Linked DNA regions of Ovis aries. The protein of the gene in region 1 binds, or shares a complex with, the protein of each later gene. Links are inferred from orthologs where the notes say so. Each region holds a gene or a part of one and is shown on either strand. Other genes may lie near its edges.

Evidence for each region.
Region 2: the proteins of CKB (region 1) and ASB9 are in contact, whole or in part, in a cryo-EM structure (PDB 6V9H), measured with the Homo sapiens proteins. The link is inferred for Ovis aries from reciprocal best matches to the Homo sapiens genes CKB and ASB9. Residues at the interface, in NP_001814.2 of Homo sapiens: Asn63, Pro64, Gly65, His66, Pro67, Tyr68, Ile69, Thr71, Arg130, Arg132, His191, Val198, Ser199, Pro200, Leu201, Leu202, Leu226, Trp228, Glu232, Ile238, Met240, Asn286, Arg292, Gly303, Lys304, His305, Glu306, Lys319, Arg320, Gly321; in NP_001026909.1 of Homo sapiens: Leu25, Asn27, Pro28, Leu29, Met30, Gly31, Asp32, Ala33, Val34, Ser35, Asp36, Trp37, Pro39, Glu42, Ile45, His46, Trp60, Ala67, Asp68, His69, Glu75, Ala100, Asp101, Trp102, Val111, Asp133, Leu134, Ser165, His166.

Annotation. Positions count from the first base shown.
Region 1 is NC_056071.1:65,892,929-65,897,414, reverse strand, and holds the start of CKB (creatine kinase B-type), read left to right. Parts: upstream 1-1,401; 5' UTR 1,402-1,469; intron 1,470-1,773; 5' UTR 1,774-1,785; coding exon 1,786-1,978; intron 1,979-2,160; coding exon 2,161-2,315; intron 2,316-2,391; coding exon 2,392-2,524; intron 2,525-2,828; coding exon 2,829-3,000; intron 3,001-3,616; coding exon 3,617-3,740; intron 3,741-3,891; coding exon 3,892-4,081; intron 4,082-4,162; coding exon 4,163-4,341; 3' UTR 4,342-4,486. UniProt on the Homo sapiens protein: Reversibly catalyzes the transfer of phosphate between ATP and various phosphogens (e.g. creatine phosphate).
Region 2 is NC_056080.1:13,444,223-13,448,024, forward strand, and holds part of ASB9 (ankyrin repeat and SOCS box protein 9), read right to left. Parts: intron 415-3,802; coding exon 307-414; intron 1-306. UniProt on the Homo sapiens protein: Substrate-recognition component of a cullin-5-RING E3 ubiquitin-protein ligase complex (ECS complex, also named CRL5 complex), which mediates the ubiquitination and subsequent proteasomal degradation of target proteins.

The DNA.
Region 1 (4,486 bases):
GGCAGGTGGGGTCTTCCTGGACTAGGGCGAGAATCCCTGTCCCCTGCACTGGTCGCTGGACTTTCATCCACTGCACCACCAGGGAAGTCCCTAATTCACGCTTTTTAATAGCCGTGTAATATTCCACACTGGAGAGATGCCTTCCCTGCCCCCGGCCAGTCCCCAAGGGATGGGCATCCGGTTACATGCAGGTCTGTTTGTGCTTGTTCCTCATGCTAGAGAGGACTGGCCTATGTGCACAGAGAGATGAGACTGTAGGCTGGATTCCTACAAGTGGGATTGCCGGGTCACCGGGTCATGGAGTACAAAGATTTTACGTTTTAATAAATACTGCCAAATTACTTTCCAAAACTGATGTAGCACTTCACAGTGGCAGGCAGCCTGTGAATGCCTATCTCCCCACATTCCAGCCCATAGCCAACACTGGCTGGTGCCAGTCTGGGGTGCTGGGGACAGTGGAAGGCATAGTCATTACTTTGAATTGCATGATTCTGATTTTCAGTGAGCTTTTTGTTTTTTAAAACTCACATGTGCTTATGTGAGTATTTCCTCCAGCCTCTGCGGAGATTCTCTGAGGACGACCTTTGGGGTGGGGTGTGGAAATGGACTTGTCCCTGGAAGAGAGGGCCCAGGCCTGGGGCTGGGGGCTCTGAGACTGCGCACTTCCCAGCAGGGCCGCAGTCAGTATTCGCTCATCAACCAGGAGGGGCTGAGTCTCAGGCTCAGATGACCCCAAAGCCCGGGGACTTGCCCAAGGTCACGGCACCAAGGGTGCCGCCTGGCTGGGCCGCAGCCAGGCTGCGCCTCCGGCGTGCCTTCGCTCTGCACCAAGATCGCCGGGGAGATGCCTGCGGGCACCTTGAAGAAGGTCGGCGGCTCGCCGCCAACTCAGACTGGGCGGGAGAAGGTTGGGGTGGGGGGGGGGGGGGGGGGGTTGTTGGGCGTCGGGGGATGGCGGTACCTGCCGTTGAAGCCCGGGACGGCTCCCGCCTGGCCCCTCGCCGCGACCACCGCGAGGACTAGCGGGAGGGGCAGAGGCAGGGGCCGGGGCGCCGACCAGGCCGAGCGTTCTCAAGTGCCTGCCGGCTCTCCTGCCTCGGTTTCCCGCTCGGAGGCAGGCGTGGGTGTGGGGGAATCCGGAATGTCCGAGGGCCTGAGGTTCTGGCTTCGGGATCTTGGCGGGCGCGAGGTGGGGTTGGGTAGGCTGCGCGGGGTCCCGGCCAGGGGATAGTCGTGGTGGGCTGCTCGGGGTGGGGTGGGGGGGCTCCGGGGGCAGAGGGTGGCGGACAAAGCGGCGGCACCACCCCGCAGCGCGACCCAATGGAATGAATGGGCTATAAATAGCGGCCAATGGGCGGCCTGCGTTGCGCCCCTTAAGAGCCGCGGGAGCGCGGAGCCGCCGCTGTTCGCCTGCGCCGCGCCCTGAGCTGCAGACTAACCTAGAGCCCCCGCCCCTGCCCGACTGCTCAGTAAGTGAGCCCGGGGGCCCGGGGTGGGGGGCGCGCGGGCACCGAGGCGGGGGTTGTTGTGCACGGAGCTGGGGGCTGGGGCCAGGGTGTCGCGCGCTCCGGACCTCCCGGGGTCCGCCGCCTGGAGTGGGCGCGCCAGTTGGGCCGGGGGTCCTGGGCGCTGTGGTAGCCCCCTGCGTGTAAGCGCCGACCCCTCTGACCTTGACCGAGACCGGGCTGACCGGAGCCCGGGGCCCTGGGTGGTTAGCAGGTCACCAGGAGGCCCAGAGCCTCGGGACCCGCTGACTCCCGCGTCTCCCCGCAGCCCGCCGCCGCCATGCCCTTCTCCAATAGCCACAACACGCTGAAGCTGCGCTTCCCGGCCGAAGACGAGTTCCCCGACCTCAGCGGCCACAACAACCACATGGCCAAGGTGCTGACCCCCGAACTGTACGCCGAGCTGCGCGCTAAGAGCACCCCGAGCGGCTTCACGGTGGACGACGTCATCCAAACCGGCGTGGACAACCCAGGTACGCGCGCCTCAGTCCCGAGGTCAGGACAGGAGCCCGAGGCTGGGCCCCAGCGCCCCCGCTCCCTGGCTCCCCCCGGGCCAAGGTCCGGGCGCCCTCTTTGCGCGCATATCTGAAGGGTCCTCGGTGGCTTGCTCGGGCCTGGCAGTGACGTCACTGTCCCCATTCCACGCTCCCCCCAGGCCACCCCTATATCATGACCGTGGGCTGTGTGGCCGGCGACGAGGAATCGTACGACGTGTTCAAGGAGCTGTTTGACCCCATCATTGAGGACCGGCACGGAGGCTATAAGCCCACCGACGAGCACAAGACCGACCTCAACCCCGACAACCTGCAGGTGCGGGGTGGCCCGGGGCGAGGGGCCGGCTGGGTGGGGAGGGGTTGCCCAGCGCTCAGCCCTGCACGGCCCCCAGGGCGGCGACGACCTGGATCCCAACTACGTGCTGAGCTCGCGGGTGCGCACGGGCCGCAGCATCCGCGGCTTCTGCCTCCCCCCGCACTGCAGCCGCGGGGAGCGCCGCGCCATCGAGAAGCTCGCCGTCGAAGGTAAGGGTACGGCCCGCTGAGCGGCGCTCTTCGGCCCCGGGCCCTGCCGGCCTGTTTACCAGTCACCCGAGCCGCCGCGCTCTTATCTGTCCGTCGTCTCGGGTTTCCCAGAGGGACCGACGCCCAGCCCCGCGCCCACAGAGCCCTGGGGCCGGACGATGGTCGGCTTGGGCCGTGTCGCTCCGGAGCGGCCCGCCGCTCGGACCGGGAGGACTGACTGGGCTCCAGCCAGGCCAAGCGGGCATCCTGGGGGTGCGGGGTGGGGCAGGAGTCCACCCGTCCTCCTGAGCGCGCTCCTCCGCAGCCCTGTCGAGCCTGGACGGTGACCTGGCGGGGAGGTACTATGCGCTCAAAAGCATGACGGAGGCGGAGCAGCAGCAGCTTATCGACGACCACTTCCTTTTCGATAAGCCCGTGTCGCCCCTGCTGCTGGCCTCGGGCATGGCCCGCGACTGGCCCGACGCCCGCGGCATCTGGTGCGTATCCCCCGGCCTCCGCCCGCGCCGTACCTGAGGGAGGAGGGCGGCGCCGCGCTCCTCAGGTGGGTTTGGTGCCGGCCTCCTCGCAGGAGACCTTGACCGCGCAGGTGCGGAGCGCCCCGGGCGGGTGGGGCCGTCTTGCCGGCGTTCCTCCTCCCTCCCCCCGCCTCCGGGAGCCGCGGCTCCTTGTTTGCGCTCTCCTTTCCCACCCGCCGCCCGCGGGGAGTCGGTCAGGTGCGGGGTGACGCAGACGCTTCCTCGAGTGGGGGTGGGGAGCCGGGCTCGCAGGCACCGGGCGTCTGCGCCGAGATAAAGCGACTCCCCGTGGGCGGGGCGGGCTGCCTCTGCCCCTCACCCCCTAGGTGGGGACCACAGGGTGCCTGACCGGCTAGCTGGAAGCAGCTCAGGGCTTCGCGTGCCCTCTCTGAAGTGCCCTGTGTGCGCCCAGGGTGTTGATGGGGCTAGAGTCCTGATAGCAGCCCCGGGGCCCTAGGGACAGCTGGAGTGAGCACCTCAGCTACTTGGGAAGTGCCCCGGCTCGGGGGCCTCGCGAGGTTTTGTTCCTGGATGTGTCCTCGTCCGGGGAGGAGACTTGACTGTGCCCCTCCCCCAGGCATAACGATAACAAGACCTTCCTGGTGTGGATCAACGAAGAGGACCATCTGCGGGTCATCTCCATGCAGAAGGGTGGCAACATGAAGGAGGTGTTCACGCGCTTCTGCAACGGCCTCACCCAGGTCAGGGCCAGGCCCCAGGGTTCAGGCAGAGATGGAGGTGACCCATCAACCCCCCGGGGAGCCCAGGTCTTTGTTGCCTCAGGTCCTGTTCCAGCTGGTCCCCTGGGCGGGTGGCTCAGCCAGGCCTACCCTCTCACACGTCCATTTCCAGATTGAAACGCTCTTCAAGTCTAAGAACTACGAGTTCATGTGGAACCCGCACCTGGGCTACATCCTCACCTGCCCGTCCAACCTGGGCACGGGGCTGCGGGCCGGGGTGCACATCAAGCTGCCCCACCTGGGCAAGCACGAGAAGTTCTCTGAGGTGCTCAAGCGGCTGCGGCTTCAGAAGCGAGGCACAGGTGAGTAGGGGGTGCCAGGCGGCAGCACGCTCCCCTGGGGCTGCCCCCGACGCAGCCCCGCTGAACTGGCTGTCTCTCCAGGCGGTGTGGACACGGCCGCCGTGGGTGGGGTCTTTGACGTCTCCAATGCGGACCGCCTGGGCTTCTCGGAGGTGGAGCTGGTGCAGATGGTGGTGGACGGCGTGAAGCTGCTCATCGAGATGGAGCAGCGGCTGGAGCAGGGCCAGGCCATCGATGACCTCATGCCGGCCCAGAAGTGAGGCCCTGGCCACATCTGCCGCCTCCACCAGCTCCTCCGCTGCTTCCTAACTTATTGCCCAGGCCGTGCCCACCACGTGCCCCGGAGGCTCGCTGTGTGGTGGCTGAGCCCTTAACCTTGCTGTAGAGACTTCCGTCACCCTCGGT
Region 2 (3,802 bases), on another chromosome or scaffold:
ATATGTCTTCTACAATATGTCACTACCTTCCAGCCATAGGAGTGAAGGCAGAAGTGTAACAGCTATTTATTAGTAGTGACAGCTAAAGAAAATTATATAGGCTCAGACCATGACTTTCTAGCTACAAATGCAGTATTTCATCTACTGCTAAAGTAAATAAGCTTGATGGACATAATACTTTGGGGGGGAAAAACCCTCTTCATATTTCAAATCAGGCTAATAAAAAATGCTCGAAAGTATTTAGAAGGGATAGAAATAGTCATTTTTCAGTAGTGGCGTCGAAGATGGGGTTTGAGTTGTACTTACCTGAGCTCCATGCCTCAATAATATGCTTGCACAGGAGGGATGACCTCCAAGGCAGGCTTCATGCAATGGAGACACACGATCTGCCGTGATGAGGTTCACCGGCCACCCCTGGAGGAGGGAAATGGGCAGAGTGAGGAGTGCACTGGAACAGTTCTGTAGGGCTCAGCCATGAATCCACATTCTTTCAAAAGTTCACCTGGCTCACCTATGTGCTCAGTCACTCAGTGGTGTCTGACTCTTCGTGAGCCTATGGACTGTGGCCCAACAGGCTTCTCTGTCCACGGAATTCTCCAGGCAAGAATACTGGAGTGGGTTGCCATTTCCTTCTCCAGAGGATCTTCCTGACCCAGGGATCGAACCTGCATCTCCTGCACTGACAGGAGAGTTCTTTATGCTGAGCCATCAGGGAAGCCAATATATATTCTTCTGACTGCAGATTCATAAGAGTCCCTGACCCAGGTAAATTGTGTCTAAATCCCTGCCCCACAGACACTGTGAATACATGTCTGTACATGAAGCCACTAACGTAGAGGGTACTTTGTTACACAGCAAAACATGACCAAGACAGTCCAAAGCATTAGGTGAACCTCCATGGACAGAGAGGCAAAGGGACAATTTACACTCTCACTCCAGTAGTCTAGCGCTAAAGAAGCAAGAAAGTGTCTGAAAGGTCGTGGGGTTCTTCAACCTCTTGGAAAGTGTGCTCTCTAAGAGATGGATCCTGAACCTAATCCAAGCAGAACATCAAAAGAACTCAAGGAGAGGCTCCACAGACTCCCTGATCTTAGAATATATAATCTATTCCTAACAGGAAGAAACCAGGTACAATCAAAGTTCTTTTCCTTAGCATATGTCAATTAAGAGCATGGATAGTTTAATCAACATCTTGGTAATACTGGGTTAGTCAAAAAGTTCATTTGGGTTTTTCTGTAAGATGTCACAGAAAAACCCAAACGAACTTTTTGGTCAACTCAATATTATACCTTTTCTTCCCAGAATGCATGCAGGCTAAGTCGTTGCAGTCAAGTCTGACTCTGTGTGACCCTATGGACTGTAATCCAACAGGCTCCTCTGTCCAAGGGATTCTCTGGGCAAGAATACTGGAGTCAATTTCCATGCTCTTCTCCAAGGGAATCTTCCCAACCCAGGGATCGAAGCCAGGTCCCCTGCATTACAGGCAGATTCTTTACCATCTGAGCCACTAGGGAAGCCCAGAATAAATAAATTTTTCTGGAATAAATTTGCCTAAAATCATTCTATTAGATTATCTCACTCACCATCATCCCTAACACACATTCTTCTACTTTTGTGGGCCTTTTTTTCAGCCCCCCAGTCATGCTGTCCTTTGGGCTGTTACCCTCTGACAGGCAAGTCATGCATTTTGATATATCCCATCATTCTGGACACACACTTGAGTTCACAGGATCTCAGATCCAGAGATATTTTTTTAAGGTGGGTCTAGGAAGGGGTTCTGAAAGACTCAAAATAATCTGCTTGTAAACAAGAAACTTGAAAATCCATTTCAGCACTTTGCCATACTAGCTCTGCTGTTTGCAGGGAGGGATAGGGCTGTATCTTCCCTTCCTTCACAACCTCAAATCCCATCTGTATTAAACAAATGCTCCCTAACCCCTTGACTCGAGAAAAATTTGAATTGTAGCATTTATTCCCTTCACAAGCACTTCCCATGGACTTCACAGTGTAGCATCTTCTGTTTCATTACTGTCATTATTTTATTCAAGGCATTCCTCTCAAAGATCTGTTCTCAAATCCATTCTTTTCCCACTCTCAGCGTTCTCTGTTTATCCAGCCTCTTCCCCACACACTGGTAGAATACACCAGAAATTCACAGCAAAATGTTAACTGCATTTTTCTCTGTGCTACAGATCATGAGATGATAGAAGACTATTCTTTAAAGGAATTCTTTATTCAGAATTCCTCTATCACAAATATACTCCTATAGCCACTACTGCCATTTCAAAATCATTTAGGTGCTTATACATAAATCCAGGTAAATGAAAAAGCAAAAAAGAAATTATTTACATTCCAAAAATGTTCACCACTCATTACATATTCACATTACAAAGAAGTTCCTTTAAATTAAGCTTCCCTGTGCCAACTGAGGACTGTATTTACAGTTCATCACAGATATGCAATTTTGACTTGAAATGAACTGAGGCAGTTTGTCTGAAATATTGTCAAGTCTGAATCATATACCATTTAAGGTAATGTTTAACCCATTACTTCAGAGAGGGTCCAGTCTGCAGTGGGTTCTCAGAAAAAAACGGATCGAATAGCTGACCTTTAATTCTTCTGTCATCAATTGTCTGTCCCCTAATCTCAGCGTAGAGTCAGAAGTTCTGATGATTCCATGGGGCTGTGCAATACCAGGGCACCCATGGGTGACATAGTGCTTAGTACCTGGCAACTTTCTGTCTCAGCTCCAAATCATATGCCTACTCAGACAACCAACCAACCACAAGAAGGTTAGGCTTTATCATTTATCCTATCCACAGTTATCACTTCCTTCTCTACACTCAGCAGAAAGGAAGATCACAAACCTCCATCTCACTCACATTCATCCAAACACATCACTTCCTCCCTACTTTACCAAGGAGGTCAAAGCCATTTGATGTGAGAGCTTTCTACATTACCCTCCTCTCCACCCCTAACATCTCTTTATATTTCTCCAGTCTTCTTTTCTCCCATTGCTCCTTTCTCTGTGGGAGAAACTGATGAGCTCAGTCCAATAGCCCATGACCTCACCCGGTCCTCCCACCACCCCCAGGACTTTCCTTCATCTACCTTCTCATCTCATGCGTTCCCCTGCTCGCTCCTCTTCAGGTACACTTTCTTTTTGCTTTCAAAGTCCTCCCAGCCCTCAGTCCTGACCCTCTGAGAAGCACCCATTCAAGGCTCTTCATCCCTTCACTGGCCCCCCTTTTTTTCCAAAAATAGTCTATCCTCATTATCTCTACTTTTATACCTTCTCTCATTTTCTACCAACAGAATCCTGCTGATACCGCTTTTAAAGACCACCAGTGACTTTCAGAATCCAGTATGCCTTGCTCTGTTCCCCACCTCCTTCCATCTCTGAATCTGCAACATATTCATCCTGACCTCATGGAACTTGTGCCCTGGCTTCTAACACAGACTTCTACCTGAAATTATCTCCAGTCTCTGACTGCCTTTTTTTCTGTCTCTTTCACTAACTCTGTTCTTCTCCTCGTTACATCTCCTAATGCAGGCATTTCCTCAAGGATTTGCCCCCAAATCCTTTTCTTGTCTCTCAATACCCTCTATATATTACATATTGCTTTCAAATCTAAATCCCCAGCTCCAGTACATGTTCCTAATTCCCTGCTAAGACATAATCACCCAGAGACCCAGCTCATGACATAAATTTAGCCTTTGTCAACCAAACTCTCCTGAAAAGAGCTCCTTTTCTGCCAGACCTGATTCTCTGAATGGTACCACTATCTTCATTTCAAACCCA